Daphnia pulex: one gene and its partners. The main gene of each other region encodes a partner of the protein of the gene in region 2 in a complex. Links are inferred from orthologs where the notes say so. Each region holds a gene or a part of one and is shown on either strand. Other genes may lie near its edges. The genes, in order: WASH complex subunit 3-like, WASH complex subunit 1-like, WASH complex subunit 5-like and WASH complex subunit 4-like.

What was found.
Region 1: WASH complex subunit 1-like (region 2) and WASH complex subunit 3-like share a complex: the UniProt entries of both Homo sapiens proteins name them as parts of the WASH core complex. The link is inferred for Daphnia pulex from reciprocal best matches to the Homo sapiens genes WASHC1 and WASHC3.
Region 3: WASH complex subunit 1-like (region 2) and WASH complex subunit 5-like share a complex: the UniProt entries of both Homo sapiens proteins name them as parts of the WASH core complex. The link is inferred for Daphnia pulex from reciprocal best matches to the Homo sapiens genes WASHC1 and WASHC5.
Region 4: WASH complex subunit 1-like (region 2) and WASH complex subunit 4-like share a complex: the UniProt entries of both Homo sapiens proteins name them as parts of the WASH core complex. The link is inferred for Daphnia pulex from reciprocal best matches to the Homo sapiens genes WASHC1 and WASHC4.

What each region holds. Positions count from the first base shown.
Region 1 is NC_060025.1:877,806-884,809, reverse strand, and holds WASH complex subunit 3-like, read right to left. Parts: upstream 3,688-7,004; 5' UTR 3,578-3,687; coding exon 3,527-3,577; exon of another isoform or gene 3,460-3,526; coding exon 3,295-3,459; exon of another isoform or gene 3,254-3,294; intron 3,173-3,253; exon of another isoform or gene 3,059-3,172; coding exon 2,681-3,058; 3' UTR 2,566-2,680; downstream 1-2,565. Other genes in the region: 60S ribosomal protein L44, read left to right, coding at 3,816-3,818, 4,171-4,344, 4,412-4,549; bacchus-like, read left to right, coding at 6,379-6,477. UniProt on the Homo sapiens protein: Acts as a component of the WASH core complex that functions as a nucleation-promoting factor (NPF) at the surface of endosomes, where it recruits and activates the Arp2/3 complex to induce actin polymerization, playing a key role in the fission of tubules that serve as transport intermediates during endosome sorting.
Region 2 is NC_060023.1:12,047,531-12,055,205, forward strand, and holds WASH complex subunit 1-like, read right to left. Parts: upstream 3,714-7,675; 5' UTR 3,623-3,713; intron 3,555-3,622; 5' UTR 3,371-3,554; coding exon 2,743-3,370; intron 2,680-2,742; coding exon 2,081-2,679; intron 2,003-2,080; coding exon 1,877-2,002; 3' UTR 1,772-1,876; downstream 1-1,771. Other genes in the region: endosome/lysosome-associated apoptosis and autophagy regulator family member 2-like, read left to right, coding at 1-279, 344-488, 562-764, 849-1,034, 1,107-1,239, 1,301-1,621, 1,682-1,735; transketolase-like, read left to right, coding at 4,544-4,644, 4,717-5,052, 5,112-5,346, 5,407-5,802, 5,868-6,132, 6,192-6,736; THO complex subunit 7 homolog, read right to left, coding at 6,971-7,397, 7,464-7,584, 7,646-7,655. UniProt on the Homo sapiens protein: Acts as a component of the WASH core complex that functions as a nucleation-promoting factor (NPF) at the surface of endosomes, where it recruits and activates the Arp2/3 complex to induce actin polymerization, playing a key role in the fission of tubules that serve as transport intermediates during endosome sorting.
Region 3 is NC_060017.1:7,244,216-7,252,137, forward strand, and holds the start of WASH complex subunit 5-like, read left to right. Parts: upstream 1-3,831; 5' UTR 3,832-4,312; exon of another isoform or gene 4,313-4,329; intron 4,330-4,388; 5' UTR 4,389-4,621; coding exon 4,622-4,746; intron 4,747-4,814; coding exon 4,815-4,905; intron 4,906-4,962; coding exon 4,963-5,154; intron 5,155-5,222; coding exon 5,223-5,443; intron 5,444-5,505; coding exon 5,506-5,731; intron 5,732-5,806; coding exon 5,807-6,473; intron 6,474-6,542; coding exon 6,543-6,926; intron 6,927-6,995; coding exon 6,996-7,099; intron 7,100-7,171; coding exon 7,172-7,388; intron 7,389-7,451; coding exon 7,452-7,725; intron 7,726-7,783; coding exon 7,784-7,922. UniProt on the Homo sapiens protein: Acts as a component of the WASH core complex that functions as a nucleation-promoting factor (NPF) at the surface of endosomes, where it recruits and activates the Arp2/3 complex to induce actin polymerization, playing a key role in the fission of tubules that serve as transport intermediates during endosome sorting.
Region 4 is NC_060026.1:1,373,088-1,381,231, reverse strand, and holds the start of WASH complex subunit 4-like, read left to right. Parts: upstream 1-4,089; 5' UTR 4,090-4,264; coding exon 4,265-4,328; intron 4,329-4,395; coding exon 4,396-4,913; intron 4,914-4,979; coding exon 4,980-6,916; intron 6,917-6,989; coding exon 6,990-7,255; intron 7,256-7,325; coding exon 7,326-7,927; intron 7,928-7,986; coding exon 7,987-8,073; 3' UTR 8,074-8,144. Other genes in the region: uncharacterized protein LOC124204737, read left to right, coding at 1-381; protein Wnt-2b-A-like, read right to left, coding at 976-1,238, 1,445-1,733, 1,861-2,141, 2,220-2,458, 2,969-3,045. UniProt on the Homo sapiens protein: Acts as a component of the WASH core complex that functions as a nucleation-promoting factor (NPF) at the surface of endosomes, where it recruits and activates the Arp2/3 complex to induce actin polymerization, playing a key role in the fission of tubules that serve as transport intermediates during endosome sorting.

The DNA of each region.
Region 1 (7,004 bases), on a different chromosome or scaffold from region 2:
GCTGCTGCTTTGCTCTTATTTGGCTCAAATGATTTTATTTTTGAATTGTTTTCGCGGGTCTTTTGATTTTCTTTTTGGGTCGTGTGGCCAAACGATAAATACAGAGTGGATATTAGTACCTCGTGTGTGCATGATGCTATATGCACATTTTTTCTCCGCATTTTCTAAGTTTAGCCGTGAATCATCGCCTTGTGTGTTGGATATAGGATCGCTACAACTTACGCGGGATGGTCGTCGGTCGGAACCGGGATAAAATGAAACTTTTTTTTTTTTTTAAATTTTGCACGCGGGCAAAGGAATGTGACCTCGACGGACGAGGGCACGGTGACAGCCGACATTTTATTTTATTTTCTTGTGTAGTACTTCTTCTTCTGTCGAAAATAGTCGCGCGGGACTTTTGAAGATGAGAAAACGGCATCAGAGCGCGAGCGTTCTTATATAGGCGCTTCAAAATGTTTTCCCTATTAGAAAATTGTTATCCATTTGCGATAGGAGAAGTGCCAGCGGGCGAATGTCCCTCGCGGGTCTTGTGACGTGATCGATCGAGACGAAATCTGTCACCCCGGGGACGGACAAATGTCATCGTCAAAGAGAGCGCGTGCGTTTGCGGGAGTTATATCGGTTGGAGTGAGGGGGGATATAGGGGAAACCGTTTACCCGTGATATTGCCCGGATTCTCTGCAGCTCCTAGCCGTTCTTCAAAAAAAAAATCTTCCGAAAAAATATCCTTTTCGACCAATGCCCAAATATAGGGCCGGCTAGACGCTGCTACTATACCGGCGGAAGGATTCCAGACGCACAAATTGTGGGTGTGACTTGAGAAAGTTGCGCCTGGAACGAGAAGCATTTCTCTCTCTCCCGCGATGACGAAACCCCCCCGTCCTGCTAGATGATCAGCTCCTTTGTGGAACCACTATGGAAATGAGATGGCACGCCAACAGCCAGCCAAGGGACGGGGTCACGCAAAAAGCCATTTCCCGGCCGTGCCAGCTGGAAAGTGCCACACACTCGGGACACCGCCGCAAAAGGGTCAGCCGCCATTTAGCTAATGAGCTGTCTGATATTCTTGGCCTTTGAATTTTTGGTGTGGCCTCCTTTGAAGAATTTGTTAGACCTCAATATGAGATAGAAGGTTGGATCCCATAGATCCTTTTCAATTCCTGCAGGGCTCCTCCTTTCGACTGCTCCCAAGTAGGTGTTGAGCATCAAAGATATCGCTCCTGAATCGCTTTTAAAACCATCTAAAACCCCCGCGCGCACAAAAAGATCATCAGGAATCTTCATTCTTCTTCTCGTTTGTATTTTTCCCAACCGAAAATAGACGCGGTCCATTCCAGGATCGATTACACATCTTTGAGCCACCAAGGACAAAAGAAAAGCAAAAACAAAATTGCGGTGTGGCTCATCGCTGACGCCGTGCGTGCGTATCAACGTTCAAATGTTGTCCGTTAAGACTCATCGAATAGTTCTCCCAGCAATCCCTGGGCTTCAAATGAATCACACGCTTGTAGCCCAGCTGAAACATATCAAGCCAGTATATATCGTGTGTACAAGTAAGTAAGTGTGTGTGTGTGTGTTTGTCTTGAAGTTGTCGGGACGATCGACACCCACCGCGCCCGCATCACCGACACAAATAGAGTCGTGAGTCAGTCGCTAGGTAAAAAGAGGCTCTAAGTTTAGCACGGCCGTGCTCCACATTTCGCTCCTGCCACGGACGCTAGTCGTCGACGGTCTCCGTTTATAAAAGAAAAGAAACTCAAAATCGGGTCCAATGGGCTGCTACTGTTGCCCGCCGGATGCCCCCACACCACACACTCTGCGAGCTAGAAGAAATGGGGTTCTTGTTATTTTCCAAATGGGCCAAAGTTTTTCTCTTCTTGCCACTCGGACCTATACATATAAGAGACCAATGTTTACATTTGAATGTTATGTTACGATATCCAAGAGTGTTGTGTGTGTGTATAGGTTTCGTGGAAAATGTTTGACTCTAGGAGAAAAGAGCTCCAAGTTTCTTCTTTTCTTTTTCTCCAGAGTTCCGAGGTGTACAGCTGGGCGACGAGCTTGTTTTAAAATTAAACTCGCCGGGTCCGTGTTATCTAAAAATACACCACCCCTTTTTAGTTGCATTTCATTTTATTGACTCGACTGGGAGAGGATGAAAAAAAAAATAAAAATTTAAAAAAACCAACCCAACCGACGATTTGCAGCACTAACACGATATTAGAGGCCTGTTTGTGTCATTGTCAAATCAATATGCGGGGGGGGCTTTGATACGTCGAAACTGCTGGATCTGCCGAGTGGTGGGGTTGGCTGTCGGGATCCTCGTGTGGGCTGTCCGGAGAGATCATCTCTCCCGTCTAACGCACAACTGGAAGCTTTTCTCAAGGACGTACGAGTCTTGGCAATCGGCCTGAGTGCTGGGCCCGTGACTCTTTTTCTTGACATGCATTATTCAAGAGTGTTGTTGTTGTTGTTGTGGTATATTGTCTATACGTGGGGCCAAACATATAAATCATCACGCGTTCGGACTCTCTCATCAAGGCTCTCCGGTTACAACCGTCGATCGAGAATTGATTATGTCTATGTATGATCGGAATCCTTTCTCCATGCATCAAGTATACAGGCACGATAAGACTGAAATTTCATAAGTCTCGGGGAAAATGATTAATTGTTATTTGTGTTAATAGTCGTCGCTGTTTGATTCTTCGTCGTCGTCGGAGCTCGAATGGGTTGATCGCGGTGCTGGTGGGGCCTTGGTGACGTCAACTTTGCCGCTGTTGAGCAGCGATGGATCGTAACCTTCTGCTCGCATTTTCTGCTCGACGGCCATTAACGGAACCCCAAAGGCAAGCATTTTGACGAACCGAAGGATTTCGGGATTCGGAGGCGCCACCGCCGTCTGGTGGACGCTAGAAACATCTTCAGGAAAGACTGGTGGAACGGCGGATGGAAGGATCTGAACGCTTGCAGCCACTGGTACAGATTCTGAGCTGGTGGCAGGCACTGTAGGTGGGATGGCCGGTATTGAAGTAGTTTCCAGTGCAGGAACTGAAGCCAACTGTTTTCAAAAGAAAAAAGAATCAGCCATTCATTGTCTATAAATGATAAACATACCCCAAAGTGATACACTTGAGTGAGTTGGCTCGACATGTATTGTTAAATAACTGAGTAGGTATGGTCTTGCTTAATCTAAATTTGTTTCTCATGAAAATTTAATTTCATACCAATTTTCCCTATTTATGCATCTTTAAAGAAGAGCTGGTGGAATTGAAATGTTTAAATGAAGGAATTTACCTTTGCTTCGAGAATGGCTAATGTGGCTTCAACATCTTGTAGTCGAAAGTTGAGATCCAGCAATTTGGTATCACATATAATTGCAAATTTGTTTAGTAACTGAACTGAATTGGAAACAAACTGGTTGAAATAGCTCAAAATTCTTTTAGTTTCGATGGGCGGAACCTGTCAAACATTAAAATGTGTTACTGCCATCATCCAATTTAAACGAAAATGAAAAATACAAACGAACCGAAGAGAACTCGACAGTAGGACCGAAAAAAGGTAGTCCTTTATTTTCCATCCCTTAGTATTTCTTCCTTGATTAGAACGACGTGGAATATACGAATTATTAAATCACATCCATGGGATAAATGTCGCGTTTGATTGTTTTGTTTTTCTTCTAGCAGACGACACAGAATCCATCCCCTTCAGGCGCAGCGGTCGAATTATTTGAGGAACAAGGCAACTCTGTTGTTCACTTGCAATCCGGAGGAGAGAATTCTGTCTCATTTCCACTTCGTTCGCCTGTTCGTCCGAAAATGGTATAGTCTCGTCGATTTAATATCTCGCAACATCCTTTGATATTTAACCATCTTATATGTTTATATAGCATCTCTTTTTGCAGTAGAATTCGATGATGTTTATTAGCATTCTGTGTCAATTGGTAGACTTTTCGTTTGACTGGTATAAAATCTGTTTTGTCACTCTGTCTGTCATATGGATACCTTGACTAGACATGTTATTTTGACTGTTAATACTAGCATTACTTAAAAGTTTAAGGTGTAAATTTCTCTTTGTAGTTGTAAGTATGTGGTTGTTAAGTATGTTGTGCATTTAAACTGTCATAATTTGTTGTCGAAAACACCGGCTCATGACTTGTTGATCTCGTTTTAGGTGAACGTACCAAAGAGTCGTCGCACCTACTGCAAAAAATGCAAGACCCACAAGGTCCACAAAGTGACGCAGTACAAGAAATCCAAGGAGCGTAGTGCTGCCCAGGGTCGTCGTCGTTACGACAGAAAACAAAAGGGTTATGGTGGTCAAACCAAACCTATTTTCAGGAAGAAGGTATGAAGACTTAAAGATTGGTTCACTTGAATTGTGTACTAATGCTTCTCATTGTTGAATTACGCAGGCCAAGACCACTAAAAAGATTGTCCTGAGGATGGAGTGCTCAGAATGCAAAGTCCGCAAGCAGATCCCCCTCAAGCGTTGCAAGCACTTTGAACTTGGAGGTGACAAGAAGAGGAAGGGACAGATGATTCAGTTCTAGACTGTTTGTCATCACCTTGTGCTGGCCAATACAACATCTTTGGCGCCTATAGTCTGTTATTAGTCTTCATTACTTTCCTTAATCCCTATGATAATGTAGGGAAATGGCTCCATGCGAGACATTTGGGTATTTATTGATTTCAAATATTTGCTAGGTGAAAAATCAACCAATTGATTCCAAGTATTCATGTGAGAAATCTGCTAGCTTTAGTTAAATCTAGCTTTGCTCTTAGTAGTTAAGAGTTGCCTTAGTTTTTATCCTAATTAGCTCTTGAAAAGTAGTGTGAAGCCCATCACGCCATCTGTGAGTGATGATTCCAACTCGACACCACAATCGGACGGTTAGACTGAACGCTTCGATCGTCTAAAAAGCGATAAGGAAAACTCTTCGTCATTGGTTGACGCGTTCGCGGTGTACATGTCGAAGAGAAAACGAAGATTGTAGATGGCGAGAGAACAAGAATAGAAAAAGAGTGAAGCATTCAATGGCGTCTGTTAAAATGCGTGTGAACGAGTTTCCGGTCATTCTTAGTGTACGAGAATACTTGAAAAATGTCGTTGAAGAGTAAATAATTTCGAAAAAAAAGAAATGACAAGTGTGTTATAAACAAGTCGGTTACGAATTATAAGAGTTTTTCCATTTATCTGTTTGATGCAAACAATCTAGTTGTAGACCACGCTTTGAGCGTCTGTAGGGGATAAAGAGAAGATAAGGCTATTATCTTTTAGTTGGAAGAACGTCAACTACCCGGTATTTTCGGGAGATGAGGGAGAGACGTGAGATGAGCGTTTCTTTGTTTTCTGGTTCGCGCGGATTCTCAATCCGCCGCCTAGACAACTACTACCCATGATATATAAACCAGTAAAAATATGGCCGGTAGAGGGGTTAAAAAATCACGCTGGTGGTGCAACCGACGTCTAGTGACGTGCTAGTTACTAATCTGCTTCGGCGAGTTTCTCATTTATCTTTCGGCTAACCGATTCGAAAACAAGAGTTTTATTTTTAATTCGAAAAATTTCAGTGGGAAAGTTTCCGAGTTGAAAATCCCAAGTACGAGAGTGAGACCACGCTACACAGAACCGGCTTTTTCTCGCTATGCTTGAGGGGATATTCGACTTGGTTCTTTTTTGACCACCCCACGCTTCACTCATTGAGTATACCGGTATAGTATAGTAGTGTATATATGCATACATGCGAGAGATATATATATATATTTTAATACTGGTGGTAATACCTTGGAAGACCTAGGAATGGAGAGAAGGAAGGGGAAAAATGGACTCTCCAAGCAGAGCCATCTGGGTAGCAGCGTGGCTAGCCCAGCGCATATAATATATCGACACGGCTATATGTTCTCTTTGGAGAGCCGAGTTTTTTAAGGTACCTTTTTCCAACCCCACCCTACCACCCCCTCTACCCCCCTCTCTCCCCATAATGAAAAGAGTGGAATGGGCGGAGTTTATCCAGCTGGAGCGCTGGTATACAACAGGGGTCTTGTGATTCGATCTAGACGCCACGAAATGCAAAAGGGACGCGCTTTGCCACCGAAAACCCGAGGCTAAGGACAACCCCCCCGCTAGAGGCCGATACAAGGCGATGCAAGTCACCAAAGACTTGGGGCCCCACCAGTGTGCTCTACACCGTCCCGTCTATAACACCTCGAAAGCAGAGACTCTTGCGAACGCGCCAAACTTCCTTTTTTAAGGCACTCTCCATCTTCTCTTAGTCTTTTTTAAAATAATTTTTCGAACCGGTCGAGCAAAATCCACTCGATTTCGTCTCACTTAAATATTCACGCTCAACCAACCAACAACAACACACCTCCAAACAAAATGAGTTCCAAGGAAGCAACGAAGGAAGTTGAAGCCGACGAAGTCATCGCCGCCGACGCCAAGAAAGATGCAGTCAAAGGCACAAAACGGCCAGCAGAAGTAAGTTCCATCTTTTTGTTATTTACTACATTGTCTTCATGTCGGCTCTGAATAAGTCTGTAACGAGGAAATTTGTTGGAAAAGAGGGGTTTCGTTATGGCTAAATTAAGGATCAACTCGAGAACCCACGCGCCGCGTGCTTGCCGCCATTTGTGTGTGTGTGTGTGTGTATGTGTGTAGTGTGTTGAGTGCGTGTGTCTGGGGCCGGCTTGAGCCCCACGCTCTATCCCGTCGCCATGACTGTTGTTGGAATATTTACTCTTTAAGAAAAAGGGATCGTAATCATTAGATATTTGGGAAATTATGTGACAACTATTTGGTCAGAGTCGAATTCGAGCGTTGGACTCGAGAATTTTGGCGCGTTGAGCAGAGTTGCCGTTGAGTTTGATAGCCTTTCACTTCTCTCTCGAAAAGCCGGTGTGTGTGTGTGTGTGCGCGCGATGACGCGCCGCCATGTTTGTCCTTAAGCTGGGGCTGCCTTAGCTTCCTTCCACCACACACACATAACTTTCCATTTATTTGTTATG
Region 2 (7,675 bases):
CAATACTATCGAAGGCGGTGCTTCCGTCTGCCTACCTTGTGCCCAGGGAGCCGATGCATCCGGCTGCATCCCTTGCCCACCGGGTCACTACACAGAAGCGGCCTCGACTCATTGTAAGCCATGCCCGGCCAATACGGTTGTCCTGGATCCAGGAGCCGTCGGCAAGTCCGCCTGCATCAACTGCGGCCCTGGACTCATCAGCACCGACAGCAAGACGTGCACGACCGATTGCACGCCGACCATCAACGGAACTCGCTACGACCTGCGTAAAATCGGAAGGTAACGCTCATTCCAATTTTCTTTTGATACTTTTTCTATCAATTTATTTTTCCCCATTGAGCAGCAAGTTCCACGAAGTGCGAGGCAGTTTGCTTTTCACCGCCAGCGGCATGCAATACTTTCACGTGTTTAACATCAGTCTATGCGGTCGTGAGCCGGTCAATTGTGCCAACAACATCACATTCCAGGCCGAGGGCGAGCCGAAATCAGTTGAGTTTCATTTTCTTTTTTTAAATTTATTGCTAATTTTTATTGTAATTTATGCTTTCGAATCGATTGCAGGTGAAAGCGTTGATTTGCCGGACGACACTGATACCTTCACAGAGTGTGGATGCTTCCGGCGGAAGCAGTCCCCTTTCGACACAATCAGTGACGTTAGGTGACCACCTGCTTGGCATAACCAACGAAGCCCAGTTGGGGGAAACTCGGGTCCTTGACGAATTCTACAACCCAAAGGACTTGCACGTCTTTTTCGGCACCCCAACGTAACAATAAATTCTTGTCGCGTCATTCTTCCCCTAAATTTGATTTCACCCTTCGGTTGTTTTTTATTGGATTTGTCCTTGCAGGGCGACCAAATCGTGTCCGAAAGGAAGAACAACGACAGTCACCCTACGTTGCGATGCCGATCAACCGGGAGCTGGCCAAGTGACTTTACCGTCGCGCTGTCCGGACGGCACATGCGACGGATGTCACTTTCATTTCCTCTGGTCGTCCAGTACCGTCTGTCCCATTTGTGGCGCTCAGGATATTAAGTTGGTCCACTGTTTTTTGTACAAATTCAATTTTGAAATCCCTTGTGACGACGTCTGCCATTTTACCCGCAGGATCGTTAAGAGCGAGTGCGTCGCTGGGGAGCAGAATGTTCACTACTTGGCCCCCAAGCATTGCCTGATGGCCGACGATGTTCCCGGAACAAAGAAAGTTCCCTGTTCGACTGAAATTCCTTTTGTGTTGCAGGTAAATAAAAACAAGAAAAAAAGGGAAAATAATTCTCATTCATGATGATTATTATTTTAAGCTGATTACTATGGGTTGTGTGGGAACGGCCGTCCTCCTCTGTTTGACCGTGTTCATTTGCTGGAAACGCAACCGTCGACTCGAGTACAAATACAGTCGCCTAGCGCGACAGCGCTCCTCTACACCGAGCAACAGTAGCGGTGGCAACGATACGACCTCCAGTCTCAAAGACAATGGCAGCAACGAATGTGAAACGGAATTGGCGGCAGCCGAAAGTTGCGCTCTGGATGACGACGAAGATGAGGAGGACGAAGTATCGGTGACTGTTCCTATGAAAAGCTTTGGTCTAGTCAACAAAATACGTTCCATGACTGCTTACAAAGTAAGTTTCAACCTTTTCCTTTTTTTAAATCAAATAACTGAATTTGTTTTCATGTTTTAGAGCGAATCTGGCAGTCCGTTTGAGACAATTCAATTGACGGAAGCACAATCTTAGAACGACGAAGAAAAATGACAGAAAGAAAGTTTGAGCTTGAAATTTGCGATTTTCTATATTTACTTATTCGTTCTTGTGTTGTTGTTTCTGAGGCTCGCGATTGTATTTCTTTGTAATTTCAATCGACAAAAAAAATATATATCATTTCCAATCTTCAACATCATCTGAACTGGAGACGTTGGCGCCTGCTGGATGAGGAGGAGGTGGAATCATGGCGGAAATTCTTTCCATCGGGCCGGCAACCTCTTGATTCTGACCAGAAATTCCCTGTACAACGTAATCGGGTAAAGTTAATACTCATTTTCCTTTTCAAACGTAACGACACACACGAAAAAGATAAATGACCTTTCGCCTCATGGAAAGCTTGTTAAAGAGATCGGCCATCAAGTCGCCCGCCGGAGCTTGATGAGATGTTGAAGCCGAAGATTTACTACTGCCACTCTGCTGTTGCTCTTTAACGGCCTGCGTGTGCTTGACACGAGCAGAGGATTTTAGTTTATTCAATCCACCCGCTTCCCGAATGGCCGCCATCAGGTTAGAACGATCCAGCGGCGCAGCGCTGGGCTTGGTGCTCGGAGCTGGAACACTTGGCGATACTTTAACGGCTGGCAAAGAAGGAGGAGGAGGTGGTGGTGGAGGTAAAGGAAGATTGACTGCAGGTGGTGGAGGGGGAGGAGGAGGAAGTGGAATTGTTGCTAAAGGTGGTGGGGGCGGAGGAGGTATTGAGATGACTGGAGCAGGAATGAACGGCGGAGGTGGTGGTGGAACGGGGTAATGTTTAACAGTTTTGATGTTTTCAGTTAGTTGAGATAAATCGGGCAGGGCCGCTATCAGTGAAGGTGCGATCCCTGGGCCAACGTCTTCGTTGTAGGCCAAATCATCCGCAACGCCTGGCAAGTCTGGAAGGGCCAAAGGAAGATCCAATTCCGGAACGTCTCCCAGTCCTGTAAAGGTATTAAAGGATAATTTTTAAAAAAAGTTCAGTTAATGTAACATTTAAAAATTACCGGGCATGTAGGAAAAATTGAGAGGATTGCTTCGTTCAAGTTGATCTCTTTGACTACTGATGGACCATGGGGCTTCTCCGATTGAAGTGTCGGTAGAGATTTCGGAATCGTGTTTACGACGCAGAGTTGATTTAGAAGATTTATCTGAATTTGACTGTCTCTGGAAGGCCAGATCTTCTGTGTTGAAAATCAAAAGTTCTGATACAGAACTCGGAGGAGCAGGTGTTTGACGTCTTGTTCCATTTTGTTGATGTGTGGGATAGAAAACCATGTCTCCATCCACAATCGATTCTGAACCATCAAAGTCTATTTTAGTTCTGCTGAATTTCACGCTAGTTTTATGGAAAATGCTTTTGCTGTTGGCCTGCAAATTCCCAGGAAATCTTGAACTTGAAAATATCTTGGTGGCCTTGCGGCTGCCCTTGAGTCCATCAATCTTGGACTGTGCAACTTCAACTCTCTTGTGAATGTTGCTGATTCTCGTTCGGCTTTCCTGAATTTGTTGTGTAACCCTGGCAAAAATATCACTAGACACTTGATCCAGAAACTCTAACGTATCTGCCATCTGAGTGATCATTTCATTTGGACGCAAATTGGACGACACCAAAGGTATTTCGTAAACCGCCATTTTAATATAATGTTCGCCTATTAATGGTTTGAATTAAAAGTCATGTTATTTAATTATTTAATTTGTAATATCGGGAGATTACTCACATCACTCACATGAGTCACATTATTGTTGACAAATTACTACTATTGATCGATAGCAGACGAAATAATAATCCGCCTCTCAAAATCCTGTGATGCCAAACCTGCAATTTGTAATTGATACTTTAATTGAGTTTATTAAAAACTCTAAATTATATGAAATTGAACTTACTATTGGTTTCGCTTCACAATTTAATTGCGATATTCACATGATAAATAATTTGTTATCGAGACTGCGGCGGTGCGGCCACCGTAATCGAAACTGGAAACCGAGAACGAAAACAAATAAAACCACGACAAAACCTTGCGGTCCGAAAGTTTTTCCTTGATATTTGGTTGAGAAATAAAATTAACTCGGTCGATTAAGACTTAACATTTCGTGTTTAAAAGAGAAAATAGACGTAGAAGGAACTTGTAACGGTGAAAGTAGAGCAAGAACAGAGGCTAATGCTCTTTTATTAGAATGTGGTCACGGACTACTTAATCTCTCGTTCATTGCCTCTTTACGCATTCGGAGAAGCATTAAAATCAATTTCAATTACACTGCCAAAGTCAAAGAGTAGAAAACAATTAACGGTGGATCTCCAAATTTACGCGAATCCATTTCGATATCAGTACTCAATTAATTATTCGACAATAATATTCTATCTATAAAGCCATGTAACGGGATGAATTTTATAAATTTTGGGTTCTTCTTTGGCTTTATTAATGTGGTTCTTGAGGAAATTTGGAAACCGGTTGCGAAATGACGACGCCATTGTATCGATCAGCCGACGACGTCCCCTCCTCTCCTGACGTTTTGCTCAGTTGCGGCCCCAAAATAATCGAACCATTCGTAGCCGCTCTTTCTTTGGAGAAAGTCGATACAAACTGAAGGCTCTTTTTGGTAAGTTAACTTATTCGCTCTCTTTCGTCTCGCGGTATCTCTGTTTAATTTCAAAATGTAGCGTTTGATCGATCAACCAAAATACGCCATGTACCAATATAGTTAAGAAACAAGACAAGACTAGGTCTCATTTTAATTTTGACACGAATGAAGTGCGGATCGCTTTTGAACTTTTTCGTTTCTTTCGCCACGTCCCAGACTAACAACATGGCTGTTACTCTGGACGACAAGACCGTTGCTGAGCTACGTAACTTGGCCGACCGGCTTCGTATCGACTCCATTCGTGCTACTAATGCCAGCAAATCTGGGTAAGACACCTCACATACAAGTCATTTATGCAAATGTCATTCTAATGTGACATTCCTGTTTTTAATTTAAAGGCACCCAACGTCATGCGCTTCCATGGCAGAAATCATGTCTTGTCTCTTCTTCCGTGTCATGAAGTACAAACTGTCTGAGCCTAGAGACAAGTCATCAGATCGTTTCATCCTGTCCAAGGGGCATGCTGCTCCAATCCTGTATGCTGCCTGGGCTGAAGCTGGCCTCTTCCCTGTCGATGACATCATGAACTTGAGGAAGTTGGACAGCGATTTGGAGGGTCACCCTACTCCCCGTCTCAACTTTGTTGATGTTGCCACTGGATCCCTTGGACAAGGTCTGAGTGTTGCCTGTGGAATGGCCTATGTGGGAAAACACTTTGATAAGGCATCTTACAGGTATTAATATTTCTAAGTCATTTTGACTCTGGTGATCCAATGTTATTTTTGTTTGACAGGACCTACTGTTTGATTGGTGATGGTGAAAGTGCTGAGGGATCCATTTGGGAGGCTCTGCACTTTGCTGGCCACTACCGCCTTGACAATTTGTGTGCAATTTTCGACATTAATCGTTTGGGCCAATCTGAGCCAACCTCTCTCCAGCACAACATGGAGGTCTACCGCAAAAGGCTGGAAGCTTTCGGTTTCCACGCTATCGTTGTCGACGGACACGATGTAGAAGAACTCTGCAAGGTATTATTCAAATAGATTCGTGTTTCCAGTAACAAAATGTAAACAAAATGTTTTCTCAAGGCTTTCGATGAAGCGTCTGCTACCGTTGGCAAACCCACTGCCATCTTGGCCAAGACTTTCAAGGGTTACAAGTTCCCATCCATTTCGGATGAGCTTGATTGGCATGGAAAGCCTCTTGGTGCTAAGGCTGATGAAGTTATCCGAGCCATCGAACAACAGATGCAACCCGGAACTGCCACTGGTGCCCCGAAAATTCTCGAGCCCCTCAATGACGCACCAGTGGTCGACATTGATGATCTCCGTCTTTCCACACCTCCTGCCTACAAAATGGGTGAAATGGTCGCGACTCGCTTCGCCTACGGAACTGCTTTGGCCAAGTTGGCAGAGCACAACTCCCGAGTCATTGCTTTGGATGGTGACACCAAGAATTCCACCTACTCTGACAGAATCAAGAAGGTAATTGATTTTATTGGTCATTGTATTCTAACGTTTTGTTAATTCTCAACTAACGCTATTATCAGGTGTCAGCCGAGCGTTACATCGAGTGTTTCATCGCCGAGCAGAACTTGGTGGGAGTAGCCATCGGAGCCGGATGCCGTAATCGCACCATCCCTTATGTCTCTACTTTCGCCGCTTTCTTCACCCGAGCTTTCGACCAGCTCCGCATGGGTGCCATCTCGCAGACCAACATTACCTGCGTCGGATCACACGCTGGAGTCTCCATCGGAGAAGATGGCCCATCTCAGATGGCACTTGAGGATTTGGCCATGTTCAGATCCATTCCAGGTGAGTTTAAAGTGACATCTTTTAGGGAAATGTTTGACTAAACGAATTATTATTTGTAGGCTCCACCGTGTTTTATCCCAGCGACGCCGTCAGCTGCGAGAGAGCCGCCGAACTTGCCGGAAAAACCAAAGGAATTTGCTTCATTCGTACATCTCGCCCCAACACAGCCGTCATCTACGAGAACGAACAAGTTTTCTCTGCTGGAAAGGGTCACGTTGTTCGTAGTCACGATCAAGACGATTTGGTTATCGTTGGCGCCGGCGTTACACTCCACGAAGCGCTGAAGGCGTCCGACATGCTGATGGAAGCCGGCATCAAGGCTGCTGTCATCGATCCATTTACCATCAAACCCATTGATCACGATTTGCTGTTGAAGGAAGCCACTCGTTGCAACGGCCGGGTTTTGACCGTTGAAGACCATTACCCAGAAGGTGGATTGGGTGAGGCTGTTGCTTCAACTCTAGCCGAACAACGAAATATTATCGTCAAGATTTTGGCAGTTCGCGAAGTTCCCCGCTCCGGTCCTCCAGAGGTTCTCCTAGAACATTTTGGAATCGGCGCCAAGGCTATTGCCGAAGCCGCGAAAAAACTTGTTGCGTTGTAAACGCCCTTTTTTTAAGTCACTCATTCCTATACCCATTCCTTACCAGAGGTCTATGGATAGTTGAGAAGAATTGGTGGTGTTTTTTGAAACATTCTTCTATGGCATTCCAAGTCGTATATGTACCGTTTGGATAGTTTATTCATACATAGCTTTTTTGGTGTTTCAAATGATTTTTATTTGTTAGCATTATTATTCAAAAATAGAAAAAAGGGATGCATACAAAATGAACAATTATTAGGATGCTTCATCATCGTTAAGAAGTTGCTGTAATCCTTGGATAGTTGAAATGAGTAAGTGAAATTGTTTGCGTCTTTGTTCTAATTTGGCCTCCAGTTTTTGACATTCACATTCTGAAGCTTCCAGTTCCTGTCGCAATAGGGATAATTTCTCTTGGTTGCTCTTTCGATCAGGCTGTGTTTGAATAATGGCAGCCAAAGCATCATATTCCATTTTATTCCTGCGAATCTGTCTTGCTTCTTGCAACTCCTTCTTGGTTGCTTCAATGTCTTTTTTAGCTGACACAATTCCTTCTTCAATCTGGTTGTAGAGGTCGTCATAGTGCTGCTGTTCTGCAGTGTTCATTTCACAGCACCTCAAGGATTTTGTGGCAGCAAATTCACATTGGGCAATCTGACCAATCATTCTAGCGTAGGATGCTTGTCTGTAAAACAAATAAAAATACATCACATATAGAGTATAGAAGAATTTTATACAAAGATTAATTTACGTTTCTTCAACACTATCTGTAGAGTTGCACCAAGCTAGGAAACCTTTAAGCAATACATTAAGTCTTCTTTCATCACCAGTTCCTTCGCCATCAAACAACAGCCTCCTTCGGATGATCTCTTCTACATAACGAAGTACAAGATGAAAATTAACCGAAATAATATTACTAACAAGTCAAATTACCATCTCCCATTTGTGAATAATGATTGGGAT
Region 3 (7,922 bases), on a different chromosome or scaffold from region 2:
GTGGTTGTTTTTACGTTCCATGTCATGCAATAAAACTAGCGGTATCCCCCATAGGTTTACACAAAAATCGATAAAAGTTATCAAACAAGCCAACAAGAGTTCAAGTAAAACTCTGCAACCATTATCATTATTATTATTTGGAGAACCGCACATGTTTCCGGCACCGGATGAGTGCGGCCAAACTAATTTACCCGGACGTTAAAAGAACGCAAAGATTTTTCAATGCTCGAGGGTGAATAAAAGGACTAACGTACTGACACAATCATTCTTAATCATATCGTAGTCGTCCACAGACAATTGCAAGTGCTTGTGAAACGAAGCATTCCTTTGTTACATTTATAACCCAAACACATCCAGCCTGGCCTCGACTGGATAACGAACTGCTGGACGAAGAATGTACAATTCAACAAACGACATTCCATTGACCCATAACTGCAATTCGAAATAAAAACGCAACCCGAGAGGAGAAAGCGGCACACTGGAACGCGGAGTAAATTATGAAGGGAAAGTGACGGTAAACCGGAAACACAATTGATGTGAGGCACAGGAATGTTCAAAACATAATAAAATAAATACTTTTTAACGTTTCACAATGAATACTAACATTTCAATTTTTGGAGAAACGATAGTTGGGATCCACTGCAAATTTCTTAACTATGTTTCACTGAGATGTTATGCACACTTCCATGGTATTGCAAATGATAAATTATTTGGACTGCAGGTAATAGGAGGAGAAACGTTTTCTGACTTTCGCTCACGACAAAATCACGTAGCAGACTAGTTAGTTTTCATTTCATGAATGCCAACTACACTGATAAGGCCTCCACTATTGATAATACGAGTGACGAATCATGATGGACTTCCAGTTCCAGTGCCCAGTCTAGACTCTAAATTTTATAGAAAGCTATGGACAAATGCAATTATATGAAACTGTCGGGTTTATAAGTCTTAAGTCCACAAATCAATTTACAATTGCCTTCTGATGTCGGCATATTTTTGCAGCCGATTTTGAATGGCATAGTTTTAAGGTATACAAGCAGAGCCATCTAGATACAGTTAGATAGTAATAGTTGTCCTACAGCGGAGAGATTTAGACAGAATTTAGATATAAAATATAATTTGATTGATATTAATTATTTAAATTTAAAAAAGGAGACGCTTTTATTATCCCTGAGGGTTATACTTCTAGTATACCGAAGGCTCTTAAGTTTCTGATCATGTCATGTATCGTATCGTATCGTAGTAATCGATACCTTCTTGGAGTTGGGCTCCAAAAGGTTTATTGTCAGTTTGGTCTTTTGCTATCTTCTTTTTTTCTACTTGACCGATTTATTCCAAATTTCGGTAACCTTCTTAACTTAATTTCTTTGAGTATTACTGGATATTTTCGTTCGTATCTGTTTAAGTTTTTTTTATTTATTTTTTTCCGTAATCCCCATGTGTAGCTTTTCTAGTCTTAGGGCAACTGCATGTTTGTGAGCCTTAGCATGTGAACGCCCGTATCCATTTTCCACTACTTCTTTCCGCAATTTTCATTCCCTTTACTTTTGTCAAGCGTGGTCGAAAGACTCGTAGCCATTGCATCCTAGGATACGTCATGTTTTCTGTTTGTTTTAAATTTGTATCAGTGCACAAAAAACTTAGTGCATAATCGTGACGTGTTGCAGCCAAACTCTCTGAAAAATGGATTCAACAAATTATGGAGGTATTTAAAAATTTCGTTGGAATATTCATGTGACTACTGACTTTGACTACTAATTTCCATCATGTAGGATACATTTTACTCCATATTATAGTCGTTGGTCTATCAAAAGATCATCCACTGACAGCTCCTGATGCCTTGGAATTGGCTTATAAATTTCAAGACGGTGCAAAACAATGAAGCATCTATGGTTCTTTGTGCTAACTTCGTCTCACTCATTGTCTTGGGAATATTGTCCTGCCACAAGGTATCCAATTATATGTTCTACCGTTAAAGTGTCACAAGCTAATTTATTTGTTATCATAGGTTGCATTCCTCTAAATCTGGCTATTAGCACTTTGGCTTCATTGAAAGAGCTTGCACGATAGAATCTTTTTTCCTGGTCACCTCATTCAAGTTGTTTTTTCAGCAGAACTAAACTTTAAGCAAATGGAGCTTTATCACGCTATACCCATGTTCTTCTATTTGCTGGCTTCTTGTCACCGTAGGGGTTCCTCCTTAATATCAACTTTGAAATTTGATAAGTATTGGGATTGTAACATTGGCCACTTTTACCATTATTTGGTATCTATTTTTACAATTTCATAATGGGCTTTTGCAACAAGTTCTCTCCAGAGTCTTTCCTTTCAACCGCGGAATTTTTGAAGATTATGTTGCCAACTTCTGGTGCACATTAAATGTTTTGGTCAAAATCCGACGAATAATGGAACCCACCGCTATCGCTAGATATTGTTTACTGCTAACAGCTCTTTTCAGTTTCCCTTGTGGACTTCATCTATATTTTAAGAACAGTTCGCGTAATTTGCATATCTCTTTGATCAACGTGTCTCTTGCATTTTTCCTATTCTCCTATCAATCTCCTATCAATCAAGTGTCTGGTGTTTGGCTAAAGTGCCGTAAACCAAACATCATCAGTGAAATACTCCATTTTCTAATAAATGAGACACTTGATGGACACTCTTTTGACAAATAAATAATAATAATAGAAATATAAAAATGGCCATTTGATGCATGCCGCCTACGAGATTTTTTCCATTGTTTTTCCATTTTCCATGATCATGGAAACAAAGTATTTGCTGGCGAGTAACAACATTTGTGATTTGATGGTCCCGACGTGTTGCGATCCACGTCAAAATAATTCGTTAAATTTGAAATAAAATGACAACCTCCTAATTATTCATTTAAAAAATAGCCGTGTTTTGGGGCTCAAACAATTATTTCGATAAAAAGAAATCGTTAGAAGTGCCTAACGAAACTCAACTATATTATTCCCTGTAATTTCATGTAAACTACATAAATGAATCCCTTAGAAATGACAATCAAAACATAAAACAAATGACGAACGCTGCTCACAATACCAGGACTGTGGCGTTTCTGACATTACAAATATCTAATTTAAATGTTAAACTAATCACGATGTAAACTACATCTTTCCTTGTAGTTTTTCACGCAGATTCAGCTGATAAAGAAAATAATGCCGAAAAGCGCAAAGTGTGAACGCCAACTGTTCCCTAAACATGACTAAACTACCGAACCAATGGGAAACCGTTCACACAACGTTTAAACCAATGGGAAGCCGATAAGAAATCACATGACATCCACTAAACATTTTTAGACCTTTGTAGCGCAGACATACGGTTACGTTAAATCGCAAATGATTATTTAAAAATATACATAGAAAATACATCACGGTTGTGCTTACGATTGTTTCTCTAAAGACAGATCTTTAATCGCTGTATGGGAAATTTGGTTATTGCTGGACACAGGAACATTCAATGAAGTCGCCAAAGACGACCTAAATTTTTTGGGCGACGGACCTGCAATGTGCGACATGATGCACCGATATAAAAAACTCTATTAAGAACACAGCCATGCATAAAGATTGCACATAACGAATTTAACGATACCATTCCCTCACTACCCTATACATATGGTTCCCCTAGCGACCACACCCATCATTACAAAATGAACGATTATGGTTTATATATTGCCCCGATTTTACTGCCACCTCTTTCACCTCAACATTTGCCATTATTTCCAGCTATTGTACTGCCATCTTGGGGGGGGGGGGGATGACAAAAAACGAATACATAGTTATCCCAATAGCCACAATAACCCGAAGGCGTATACCCAAGGACCTTGTTTGGTCATGGCGGCTTTAAAGTTTATACGACGAGTTTTAGTAGCTACCAGTTGATTAATAGGGAAGCCATTAACTGGAGTAGACATTTAGCAAATGGAGTGCATTATTTAAAAAATAAATGTGTTTACTTTATCGAATTAGTCAACTGAAATTTTAAAAAGGTTAGGCAGACGTAGTCGTGCGGGGGGTGCGGGTTTTAGCGTGTTAACTAATAACTAACCAACGGAGAAATGTTTCAAGTTGAATTCTCAAAATTCAAGGTTATGGTTTTTTTTCAGGGAAAGTGTAAATAAAAGTTTTTCCATGTTTGTCATTGATATTGATTGCTGGTAATTGAGACGTGCAAACCCCGTGACGTGAGTGTTCTGTGCGACACCTGAGCCTTAAAAAATCACACGAAACTGAATGTGGAACCAAGGACTAAATTGACTCTATAATCCTGAGGGGAAAAAATCTCCGTTTCTTCCGTACGCCGCACAATTTTGTATAAAATTATTGTATTTTGTTTTATGAAATAATTATTTATGTTTATTTCCCTTTTAGCCGTCACGTTTTAGCTATTTACCGGAAAAAATTGGAATGGTTGTTAAAGCAGAGACATCTATAAACGAAAAAAGATTTAGCGCATGTTGTCAGGCCTGTGCCTTTATTTTTCACAAGTTTTGACAAGTGATCAACGTAAACAGACGAGATTATAAATTTAGAATTTAGCCAGATTTAGCCTAAATTTATTATTCTATGGATACGCCCGGCTCGACAGTCAAGTTTAATTAATCATGGCTGAAGATTTTTTAGCAGAAAATAATCTGTGTGGACAGACCCTTTTGAGATTGGTTTCAAGAGCTCATGCAATAATTGCTGAACTATTACGTCTAAAGGATTTTATTCCACAGATTTTTCAGTAATAGTCACTTAAAATCTATAAATCCAGTTATATTATTTTATTATTATTATTGTTTTCATTGTAAGGTCCGATCAAAATAAATATCATGAAATTGTATTGGATTTTCGATATTTTAAAGAACAAGATGTCTTTGATTCAAAGATTAATGGAAGCGATGTAAGTGAGTTATCAATTCAGATTTTTTCTCCATTAAAAATTCACATCTTACTCTAGGTTTTAGTGGAATTGGATGAGGAGTTACGAAAGAATTATATTGAAATCCTAACAAGATTCTATCTTGCATTTGAAAGTGTTCACAAGTATGTCTGTGATTTGAACACCTTTCTTTATGAACTTGATGAAGGGATTTATATCCAACAAACTCTTGAAACAATTATTTTAAATGATGAAGGCAAACAGCTCATGGTTGGTTATAAAAATGAATTTTTTATATATGCTTCACCTTTTTAAACTAACCTTTTTTTCCTCTGCAGTGTGAGGCACTTTATCTATATGGCATCATGCTACTAGTCATAGATAATCATGTTGATGGGCCTGTTAGGGAGAGAATGCTAGTCTCTTATTACAGATATTCTGTTCAAAGAACTCATTCTAATTCCAAGTTGGATGAAGTATGCCAGCTATTGCGTTCAACTGGATTTTTGAAATCTCAGCCAGGAAAAAGGCCTCAACATTACCCAGAAGACTATTTCAAGTAGAATGAATTCTATTATTTTTGATTCATTTTAAGTAATGCCTATATGTGGTTGTTCTTAGACGTATTCCGATTGCTCCAATTTATTTGGATGTAGTAATAGGTCATTTGAGATCAGATGATATCTATCACCAAATTGCAACCCATCCGCATCCTGATCACCGAAGCACTGCACTTGCTCAACAAGCAGCCATGCTCGTGATTTGTCTTTATTTCACTCCTGATATTCTCCACAATCAAACAGCAAAAATGAGAGAAATAGTTGACAAATTCTTTCCAGATAATTGGGTAATTAAGATTATTATTAATCTCTTCCGGATACCAACGACTCCAATATGTTGTAATTGTATGGTTCTTTTCTAGGTTACCAGTGTTTATATGGGATTAATTTTCAACTTAATTGAAGTATGGGAGCCGTACAAAGCGGCGCGAATGGCACTCAGCAACACAGCGCAGGCTGCCAATGTAAAAGAGTGTTCAGTTAAGCATAGCAACCAATTGGACCAACTTATAACACAATTACGTCAATTACTCAAAGAAGGAGTCCTGACCGAAGAATTCCTATTAGATAATATGCAGAAGCTGATCAACTTGATCCGACAGTCAAACGTTACTCTACGATGGATGCTCTTACATACAAACACATTAACAGCTGGCGCAGAATCAGTTAAAAAATGCCGTCAAATACGGGATCAAGTTCTCAACGACTCGAAATATCAACCCGTTACAGTATTCGAATTGCTGCTGGACTGCGCTGAGTTGGAACTGAATGTTCGCGAGACTTTTCGAACTCTGTTGACGGAGAAGCGCGCAAATTGGCTGCGATGCAAAAATGAGTGTATGGAACGACTGACAGAATTAGCTGATGTTTTTAGCGGAGCAAAGCCCTTGACTCGAGTTGACAAAAACGAGAGTCTTCAATTGTGGCTTCGGGAAATCGCTCAGCAAGTTGAAGCACTAAACTATGAAGAAGGCACAGCTTCCGGCCGTAAAATGGTTCAGCTCATTTCTGCCCTCGAAGAAGTTCAAGGTATAGGCTCTCAACGTTAACAAGTGTTTCCAGTTCACATAATAAGCTATCCCCACTTTTTGATTGCAGAATTTCATCAACTCGAGTCCCAGCTGCAAGTCAAGCAGTTTTTGACAGAAACCCGTCGACAGTTGCACCATATGATTCGTACCGCAAACATTCGAGAGGACTTTCTCATTACACTCCAAATAGTCTCGGATCTGAGTTATGCTTGGCTAATAATTGACTCCTACACGGGCCACATGCAGACAGCAATTCGGAAAGATCCAACCTTAGTGGGTCGTTTACGAGCAACCTTTTTAAAACTGTCTTCCGCTCTCGACTTACCCTTGATGCGCATTAATCAAGCACGGAGTGCTGACTTGGTTTCAGTTTCGCAGTATTACTCGACCGAACTCGTCTCCTACATTCGTCATGTGTTGCATATAATTCCGCAATCCATGTTTGCCTTAGGTAGTAAAATTTTAATTAAAACAAGATCATTCCTGAAATTAATTTCAATTTCATTTGCCACTCAATTAGTCGAACAAATTGTTCAACTCCAGACTAATGTTATCAAAGAAATGCCAGTGAGGCTAGATAAAGACAAACTCAAGGACTACGCACAACTGGACCAGCGATTTCAGGTATCCTATTTCTAACAAATTGTTAAAATCGAATAAATATAATTCCCTTAAACCCTTCTAATATATCTATAGATTGCCAAGCTTACAGAATCTGTATCAACGTTTACTGAGGGTATTTTAGCTATGAAGACAACTTTAGTTGGTATAGTCCGTCTGGATCCTAAACGGTTACTGGAAGAGGGTATTCGCCGGGAATTAGTACGTAGAATGGCGATGGCCATGCACGTTTCGCTCTCTTTCAATGCCAAAGCAAAGAACAGCGATCTCGCTCACAAGCTAAACGGCTTAGGTAATATGCTTTGATTTGAAAATATCGTTTAAATTTTAATTCTTAATCTTCTTTTTTGTTTAGGCGAAACCATGGAAGGACTCCGTAAATCTTTTGAGTACATCCAAGATTACGTACGAATCCAAGGTCTTCGCATGTTTCAAGAAGAAACAGCGCGAATCGTTGGGTACAATGTTGAACAGGAATGCAATACATTTCAGACAAACCATATTCAAGATTGGCAAAGTAAGTTCCAGTCAACCGCAGTACCAATTCCCCGGATGTCTTCAAACGATCCTCATTCCGCTACGTTCATTGGTCGATTAGCCCGCGAAATTCTGCGTATCACTGACCCCAAGTAAATATTTTTACTTTATATCTTGTTATGTCTGACAATAACTTTGTATTTATTATAGAACAACTGTGTTTGTTTCGTTCACCAACACCTGGTATGACGGCAAATCTCAAACAGAAGTGTTAAACTTCTTACTGTTCTCTCAGCTAGAGCGGGCTCTAAGTACATCAGGATTGGCTGGACTAGACACCCTTTTTGCC
Region 4 (8,144 bases), on a different chromosome or scaffold from region 2:
ATTGTGGAACTGAATGTAGGTGGAGCCATGAACGAATCGACCTGGATTTTCACGGCACCTCGCCCGGGAAAATATTTTTTCTCTGCATCTGGAATTGCATTTCTTCCATCTTCTGCATCTGGGGTTGCCTTAAGGATTCGATTGATGAAGAATGGTAATCCTATGTCGAATGGTTACGCTGATGAGGCAAATACCTCTGGTGAATACGAAACATTTTCTTTGCAATCAACTCTAAGTTTGCAAGCGGGGGATCAAATATGGTTAGAGATTTTGCAGATTGACCCTGGGGTAACACTTCATAACTCACTTAATAGTTACACTCACTTTAATGGATTTCTCATCGAAGAAGATATTTCCCAGTCACTGGCCACATTTGTTTGATTTTAACAATTGATCCCAATTAGTAACAAGAAGCCGACAAGAAGTTTAGTGTTTGTGGTTGTACGGTGTAGTCCCGTAGTTATTGGTCTTTTGGTTCTGCGGAATGTGCAAATCTTTAATGCGTGTCGACGTCTAAATAAATATTTGCAAATTTAAAAAGCCCATCAGTTCAGCAAAAACGATTTTATTGTTTGTAACAATGGGAAAACATTTGCATATTAATTGAGAAGAACATTTGAAAATTTGTTTATCAGCTGGAGAGCTACATCAGTAAATAACCATCCGCCACGGAGTCAATTCTGTCACACCCATTCTCGACAAAAGCTTAAATGGCACTCATCTGCTGGATGGTAGAAAATCAGTTTCATCCGAACTCGTAATGGACAATAAAAAGACGTGGACGATTCGATCATTTCAAGAAGTTAATTTTTTTTTCTGTTCAGATACTTAAAAATTGGAACTATGTACATCAATGCGCTCACCGAGACAAAGGTAAAGTAAAAAAAAGAAGAAATACTTCATAATAACATAATAATATCTGGAAATTATTTTTTGTTGTTGTCTAGTCAAAATTCAATATTTAATTCGGTTGTGTCATTTCTTCTGATTCTGCTGCTGCTGTTTGGTGGCGTTGAATTTGTTGAGTTCGAACGACTGCAGCGGCTTGCAAAAGTGCTCGTCCTTCCACTGGGTGCACGTCTTGCACTCGACCGAGCAGCACCACTTGAACGTGCAATTGCACGGCGTCGACACCAGCACTCGCCTCGTGTCGTAACCGCGTCCGCAGCACAGCAAATCGCATCCGTCGATACCTTTCGAGGTTTTATTACACGGTCTTCCGGCCGTCCCGATCGAACCTTTATTTTAAATTTAAAAATAAATAATTTGGTTTTAATTCATTTCAATATTTTTTAAATAATAAAATTTAAATCTAATTTGAATATTTTAATTTTAATTCATATGAATATTTTAATAAAGAATTATTTGGTTAATTCATTTAAATATTATTTGAATATTTAAATGAATTTGATTGAATCAAATTAGCATTTTTTGTTGAACTCACCAGTGAGGGGATCAAAGGAGCAGTAATCGGACGAGTGTTCCAGGTAGACGAGATCGTGAACTTGCGGCGGATTGGTCTTGAGACTCTTGCGGTTGTCGTTGAGATGGTCGGCCGTGATGAGGGTCGTGCCCGACGGGTCGGAACTGACCTCCAGCGAGGCGTCGTATTTCTCCTTCAGGTAAGCGCCGACTTCGCGGAATTCCGGAAGTGTCGTCCAGCAAGTGCGGACGTTGCAGGCGCCCGACACTCCGTGGCATTTGCATTGATGCCTCATCAATTTGTGAAGAGCCTATCAATTCAAATCAATTCATTTCATTTAATTCATTTATATTAATTCATTTAACTATTAATTATTTCATTTTTTAGTTGAATAATTTGTTAATTTCGATTGAAATTGCCAGTGAAAATTAAATTACCTTTCGACCGACTCGGTTGTTGTGGAGGTTCATCAAGGCCCTTGAGTCTCTCATCTTGCGCTCGCGGGCATCGATGAACTGACGGGCGAAATTGCTTCCGTAGCGGACGTTGGTGGAGCATCCGCCCCAAGCGAATTCGCCTTGCTGGTCGTGGTGCTTGCCCAGTCTTGTCTTGTCGCAGGCGCAGTTCAATAGGTCGCCGCGGTTGCAGGCCCGAGAGATCGAATGGACCACGCCGGCCGAGCTGATGGCGTACACAAAAGCCGCTTCTCGACTTCCGGCTGTTTAAACCCCAAAAAATGATTCAAGTTTAGTTTTATTTTAAATTTATGTACATACAAGATAAATTAGAGTCTTACATTTGACCAGGGATTTGCCAAAGACGGTGGCGTCCCTGTCGATGGTGGAGCAATTCCATCGGTGCTGGCGGAATTGGAATTGGCACTCTTTGATTCCGGTGGCGGCTCCCTCGCCAACCTGGACCATGTGATCCGGATGCTTCTGGCAGAGTCGTCTCTGCTTCCGCTCCATGCCCGGAATGTGATCGCAATACATCCGCGGATTAGCCGCCGTGCCCAGTTGAAATTTGCTCAAAAACCTGGGCCAAAAAATGGTAAGAAAAATAAAATCAGAAAAAGGGTTTTTTTATTTTATTTTCTTGGTTAAAATATGCTAATTGGTTTATAATATCCGTGCCCAAAAGTTTGACCGATATGCTATGATGATACCTATACACATAGTCCAGGGGATTTGGTCTCTACCTTATTACGAGAGCTGAGCTGAGCGGTGGTATCTTTATAAGTAATTACGGAAGCCTTATTTACACGCACTCACGCTCTTATCGCATAGACGCAATCGAGCGAACGTGAAATTGAGACACCCTTCAACCCTCAGGATTATATAGCATAGAGAAGCAACCCTAGCAAAATGGCTGTCACCGTTTCTCACTATCCTAGAAAATTTCGTTATAAACGTTGCCGGCCATCCAGCACTAGTGCAACTTCCCTAAATCGGTTAACCCCTTTCCCATCCGCTTCACCGTCCAGGTAGGGGGAAATCTATATACTTAAGCCCAGCACTCACTCACAAACGATATCTCTCAACTTACCACCAAGTGGACGAAGCGAATTGTGGAATGGTGATGACGGCCAGGAATAAGACACTGCTGATCCAGTGACAGCGCATTCTCTTTGATTGGGCGATGAGTTGATTAGATACAAGAAATCCGTTAACAGTATAGACACACACACACTGAATCCTCTCAATCACTCGGGAAGAAATCAATCAATCAGTGAGCCACCATAACACACACACATAGAACTGGCCGGCCACTAAACTAACAAAATATAAACAAAGCCGTACAAGTGTTACGATTTTCTGTTTGGGGGATAAATTGACTGTGAAAGTTTTGAAAAGTTGAAAAGAACTGGTGGTGGTGCTGCAAGTAGCTGGTGGTGATACTCGGCCGATGGCCAGAACGGGAATAAATACTTTGGGCCACCCAGTCCGGCTACATATACTTAGGTGGACCAAGAGGGTTGGGTGATGTCTGTGTGTGGGTGGAGCGAAATAAAATAAAGACGGGCGCCCAGGATATATAGATTCACAAGTTACAATTAATAATTTTTGGGTACTGGGGCGGAATCGTGAGAAAATTCTTCGATTTCGCACCTCATCCGCTATGTCCGATCCGTCGAGACCCTTGGCATATCTCAGGTGGGTTGTTTAAATCGAGCCGCTGTATATCTATGCTACTGCTGCTGGACCTGTCCGGTGTGGGTGACCTTGCGCGTTCACTTTTTTCTCACCATTTGCCCAGTAGTACGGTTGTCCAGGAAAGAATGTGGCACCCACCCAGACATTTCGGGGTGGTGCGAATAATTCACCCCACCGTCTAACTCCTCTCGTAATTCCCACTGGGGTTGTATAAAACAAGATCAACCCGGCGTCATTAGTTTTCATCATATTGGATTGGGGTGAGGGGGAGAGATTAATCCACCACCCCCAATCGATTGCTGGGCCCAGGTTCCCCGTAATCTATTTTCTCACGATGTTTTAGACCGTGGGAAACCATTTCGCCAGAAACACATCAAAATGTTTTTCGATTGACCATTTATAGTTGTTACGTCACAGTTATTCTTTGTTATCTCAATACCCTTGTTACACTAATGTTACATCATCGAAAGATGTAAATTAACCAATTTGGAAAAATTGGAACTGTTTCGATTTAATCCCATCTGGCAACTTTGTGATCTAGCAGACGACTTTGGTATTCCGAGAATTTGAAGATTCAGATTATTTTTTTGTGTTTCCAGAGCTTGTTTACGTGTTATTATAGTCACGGGCGTTTTTTAAATGATTTAATTGATTTTTATTGAAATATCGTGTTGCTTTGATTTTGAAAATGGTAGGGATGAATGGGAACTCGACAGTTTCCAACCACGAGTATGGGAGATATGCCGCAGAAAGTGAGTTGGTTTCTTTTTTAGTTGTGGTAATCAGTTTCACTAATCTTTTGCCCTTTTTTTAATGTAGAGGTGGCCAAAGAATATGTTGCAAGAGAATATAGCGAGTTCATGGTCAAGTGTGGCTCGGATCTGGAAGCTGTGTGTCAAATTCACGAAAATTTGAGCAAGGAAAATGTCAGTCAGACAGTCAGTCTGGATTTAGTTCCCAGCGAAGACATCTCCCTAGTCGACCTTGTCCACTCTGATCACGAAGAGCTGAGAAAAGTCGTCCTGGCTTTGGGGCATTTAGTCAGCGAGATGGACTTTCTGGTTGAAGAGGGGAGGTCCTTCTATTACCCTCTCCTCTATTACGGTGAGGGTGTGGACGAGAAAGCTCTGCAGTCTGGAGAGGGCCATGCATGTGCCGGTAGAATGGTCGAAACATTGCAAAAGTTGTTGAGCTACGTCAACTATTGCTACAAAGTGATCAAAAACATGGTGGGCCAGCTTTCAAGATTGTACTGCAGCTCAGACGCTGGACCAAAATACTTTGAGATTGGCGAAACCCATTTCAAAATCATTTTCGAAAGAATGGGATGTGTGCTGGTATTTTAATTCTCAACTTTTCTCTCAAAAATATCCCGAAACTAACACACACTCTTTGCTTTTCAGTCAATCCTTGTGAATTTGGATTCCATCATTAACCGAAACAACTTGCTGAGGGAACATGTTGCTCAGCTGCAGCATGTAGTTCGATCCATTCAACACAACGCCTCCAATTTCGACACGACGCCGGAAGATTTGCGGCTGCTGGACTTGTCGCTCGACGAAATCACCGAGAAAACTCTTTCGGGCACGCTCTTCCTCCGATGCATGAACCAGAGTTTCCCCACCAGCAACAACAAAGTCTTGCTGGACGAGATTTCAGCCAACGTCAAGGGCTTCCTCGAAGAATTATCGTTCCGTCTGGACAAGGAAGGCGAGCGGGACAATTACGAGAACATGCAAAAGTTCCTCAGCATCGTCTGCCTGTTTGTCCTGCACGCTCACATTGGCCTGAAAGTGGACAACCGCCAGCTCAAGACCATCCTGGATGTCGCCAAAAATTCCATCATGGCCGTCCCTCTGGTCGGGTCGTGTCTGTGGTTCCCTGACCAATTCTTGTCGCTCTATCTACCCCGTGGAGACCGGGCCGTCGATAGCAAAATGCTGGAAAGTGTCGGCTCTGCCCGGTTCCAGTACGTCCGCCAGCGTTCCCAGCAGCTGGCCAAAGACCTTCAAATGTGGAACACGAAAATCGTCCTCTGGCTGTCGAGGCTGAGCGGCCAGCACGTCAACAGTCAAGAAGAATTGACCAATCAGTGCTGTTTGGTCCTGCAGGGACTTCGCTACGTGGCCAAACTGAGCGGCGTCGTCCGTCTGATATTGAACCTCCACTTGGCCATCCAGCCAGTCATTTCCAAAGGCACAGTCATGGCCGCCTTTCAGACGTTTGAGCTCATCAAGACCTTGCAAAAGGCCATCGAGAAACAGCTGACGGATTACCCTCAAGCCTGGATGCACCTGCAACAGCAGCTCCGTCGTTCCGTCTCCGACGTAGTCCAGTTGGCCGCCAAGCGATTAGCCGGCGAGAAGAGCAGCAAGAAACGTCCCCGGAAGACGGTCAGCGCGGCTCTGGCGTTGGCCCAGCGAGTCCTGAAAGGTCCCTGCACATCATCCCGTGTTTCGACGGCCAGGATTTCGCTGGCCATAGCCTGCACCGCCTTCCAGGACGAAGAATTGTCCTTGCTGGCCCATCGCCTCCAGAAGATGGAGCTGCTTTCCGTTGGCATACGCCACCGCTTGAGTTACCTGGCCGATTGCGAAGTCTTTTACTGGCACAAATCTCTCCTCAACACTTACCTGCCGGAAGCCCGTGAAAGACGCTTCGAATCGTCCCGGATTGGACAGACTCTGATGGCCGTCATGGACTGTGAATCGGCTCTGGCCAGCGTCAAGCATCTGGCCAATCCTCGACAGCTGGTGGAAGGCCATCAGAAATTCATCCGCCGAGCCCTGGACGTCCATATTTTGGAGCCCCTGTGCGCCTCGGTCGAGACGGAATTACGGATCCAGTCGCACGCCCATCTCCACCCGACGCCCCGCAACCCGTTCAAAGAGTCGCCTTGTTTGAGCGCCCTGGGCGACTTGCCCCTGGGCCGGCACGAGCAGCTGAGCGTTCCCCACCGGGTGGAACACTATCTCGGCCAGACGTTCTACAATCTGGCCGCTTTGGCCTCTCACGATTGGCGCAAGTACGGCCAGATGAGACTCTTGGCCGGATTGGCTTTCAACCTGAAGCCGCTGCCCGACCGGCTGCCCAGCCAGACCCTGGAGCAAGGGCTCGACGTCCTGGAAATCATGCGCAACATTCACCTGTTTGTGGCCCGTTTCGGCTACAATCTCAACAACCAGTTCTTTGTCGAGCAGTCGAGCACCAGCAAACACTTGAGCACGATCGGCATCAAACACGCGGCCAATTCCATCAGGACCCACGGGTCCGGCGTCGTCAACACGGCCGTCAATTTCACCTACCAGTTTCTCCGCAAAAAGTTTTTCGTCTTTTCTCAGTAAATGAAATTTTCAGACTTTTATTTTATTTTTTAAATGTTGAACCGTTTGAATTTTTCCCGCCCAAAAAAGGTTCCTGTACGACGAGCACATCAAGTCGCGGCTGATGAAAGATGCTCGTTATTTGCGCGAGCTGAGCCAAGGCAAAGATTCGGCACTCCGATATCCGTACGAGCGCGCCGAGAAGTTCCATCGGGGCATCCGCAAATTGGGACTCAATTCCATCGGATTGAGTTATCTGGACCAATTCCGCATACTCATTACCCATCTCGGAAACGCTTTGGGCTACGTCAGGATGTTGAGAAGTGGATCCATCCATTGCAGTGCCGAATCCTGTGGTATTATTCATCATTCCGGCCGGATTAAAAAGATGTTCAACACAAAATGAATTATTTTTTTTTTTGCCAGCTCCGGTTCCGGATTTGGCGGAATTGGTTTATCTCAATGAAACTGGACTGGATCATCAACTGGGCAGCAGTGCCAGTAGCCTTAAAAACCACAACGATACGATGGACATGGCCGATGGATTATTCGAATCCTTAGCTAAATCTAATCCGGCTCTCTCTAGCCTATCCGAACTGTCCAGCAAAGCCCTGGACAAGGTGCTGGACGATCTGGCTCAGAATCTATCCGAGAGTTCCGACTATTTCAAACTGCTGGTGGACGTCTTCCGGCCGTTTTTCCGCGATCCTCGCCACTCTCACTTGCGCCATTTTTACGTCATCGTTCCGCCGCTGACGGTCAACTACGTCGAACACATCGTCACCTGCAAGGAGAAGCTGATGAAGAAGAACAAGCAGGAAACGTGCACCTTCACCGACGACGGACTGGCCATGGGATTGGCTTACTGCCTCTCCGTTCTGGACCAGTGGAAGGATTTCGACGCCCTGCAGTGGTTCTCATCCGTCAGGGAATTTTTCGAGCGCGAAAGGAAAATGGCCGGACTCCAATCGCAGGCCAGTCAGGACACGCTGAGTCTGACCCTCCACCGATTAGAAACTTATCGACAGGTAAAAGCTGGAAATCAAATCCTTGTCACATAATTTTATGATTTTTATTCGTTTGACAGGAATTTGATTTGTTATTCTACAACTTGAACAGCGCCAGGATCTTTTTCCGCCACGAACGGCCCGTTATTCCAGCATCTTCCATCTAGTCTCTTTCACATTCTCAAATAACACCGTCGTGGATCGAACAAGTTTATTAGAATTAACCAATCGAAAGCGG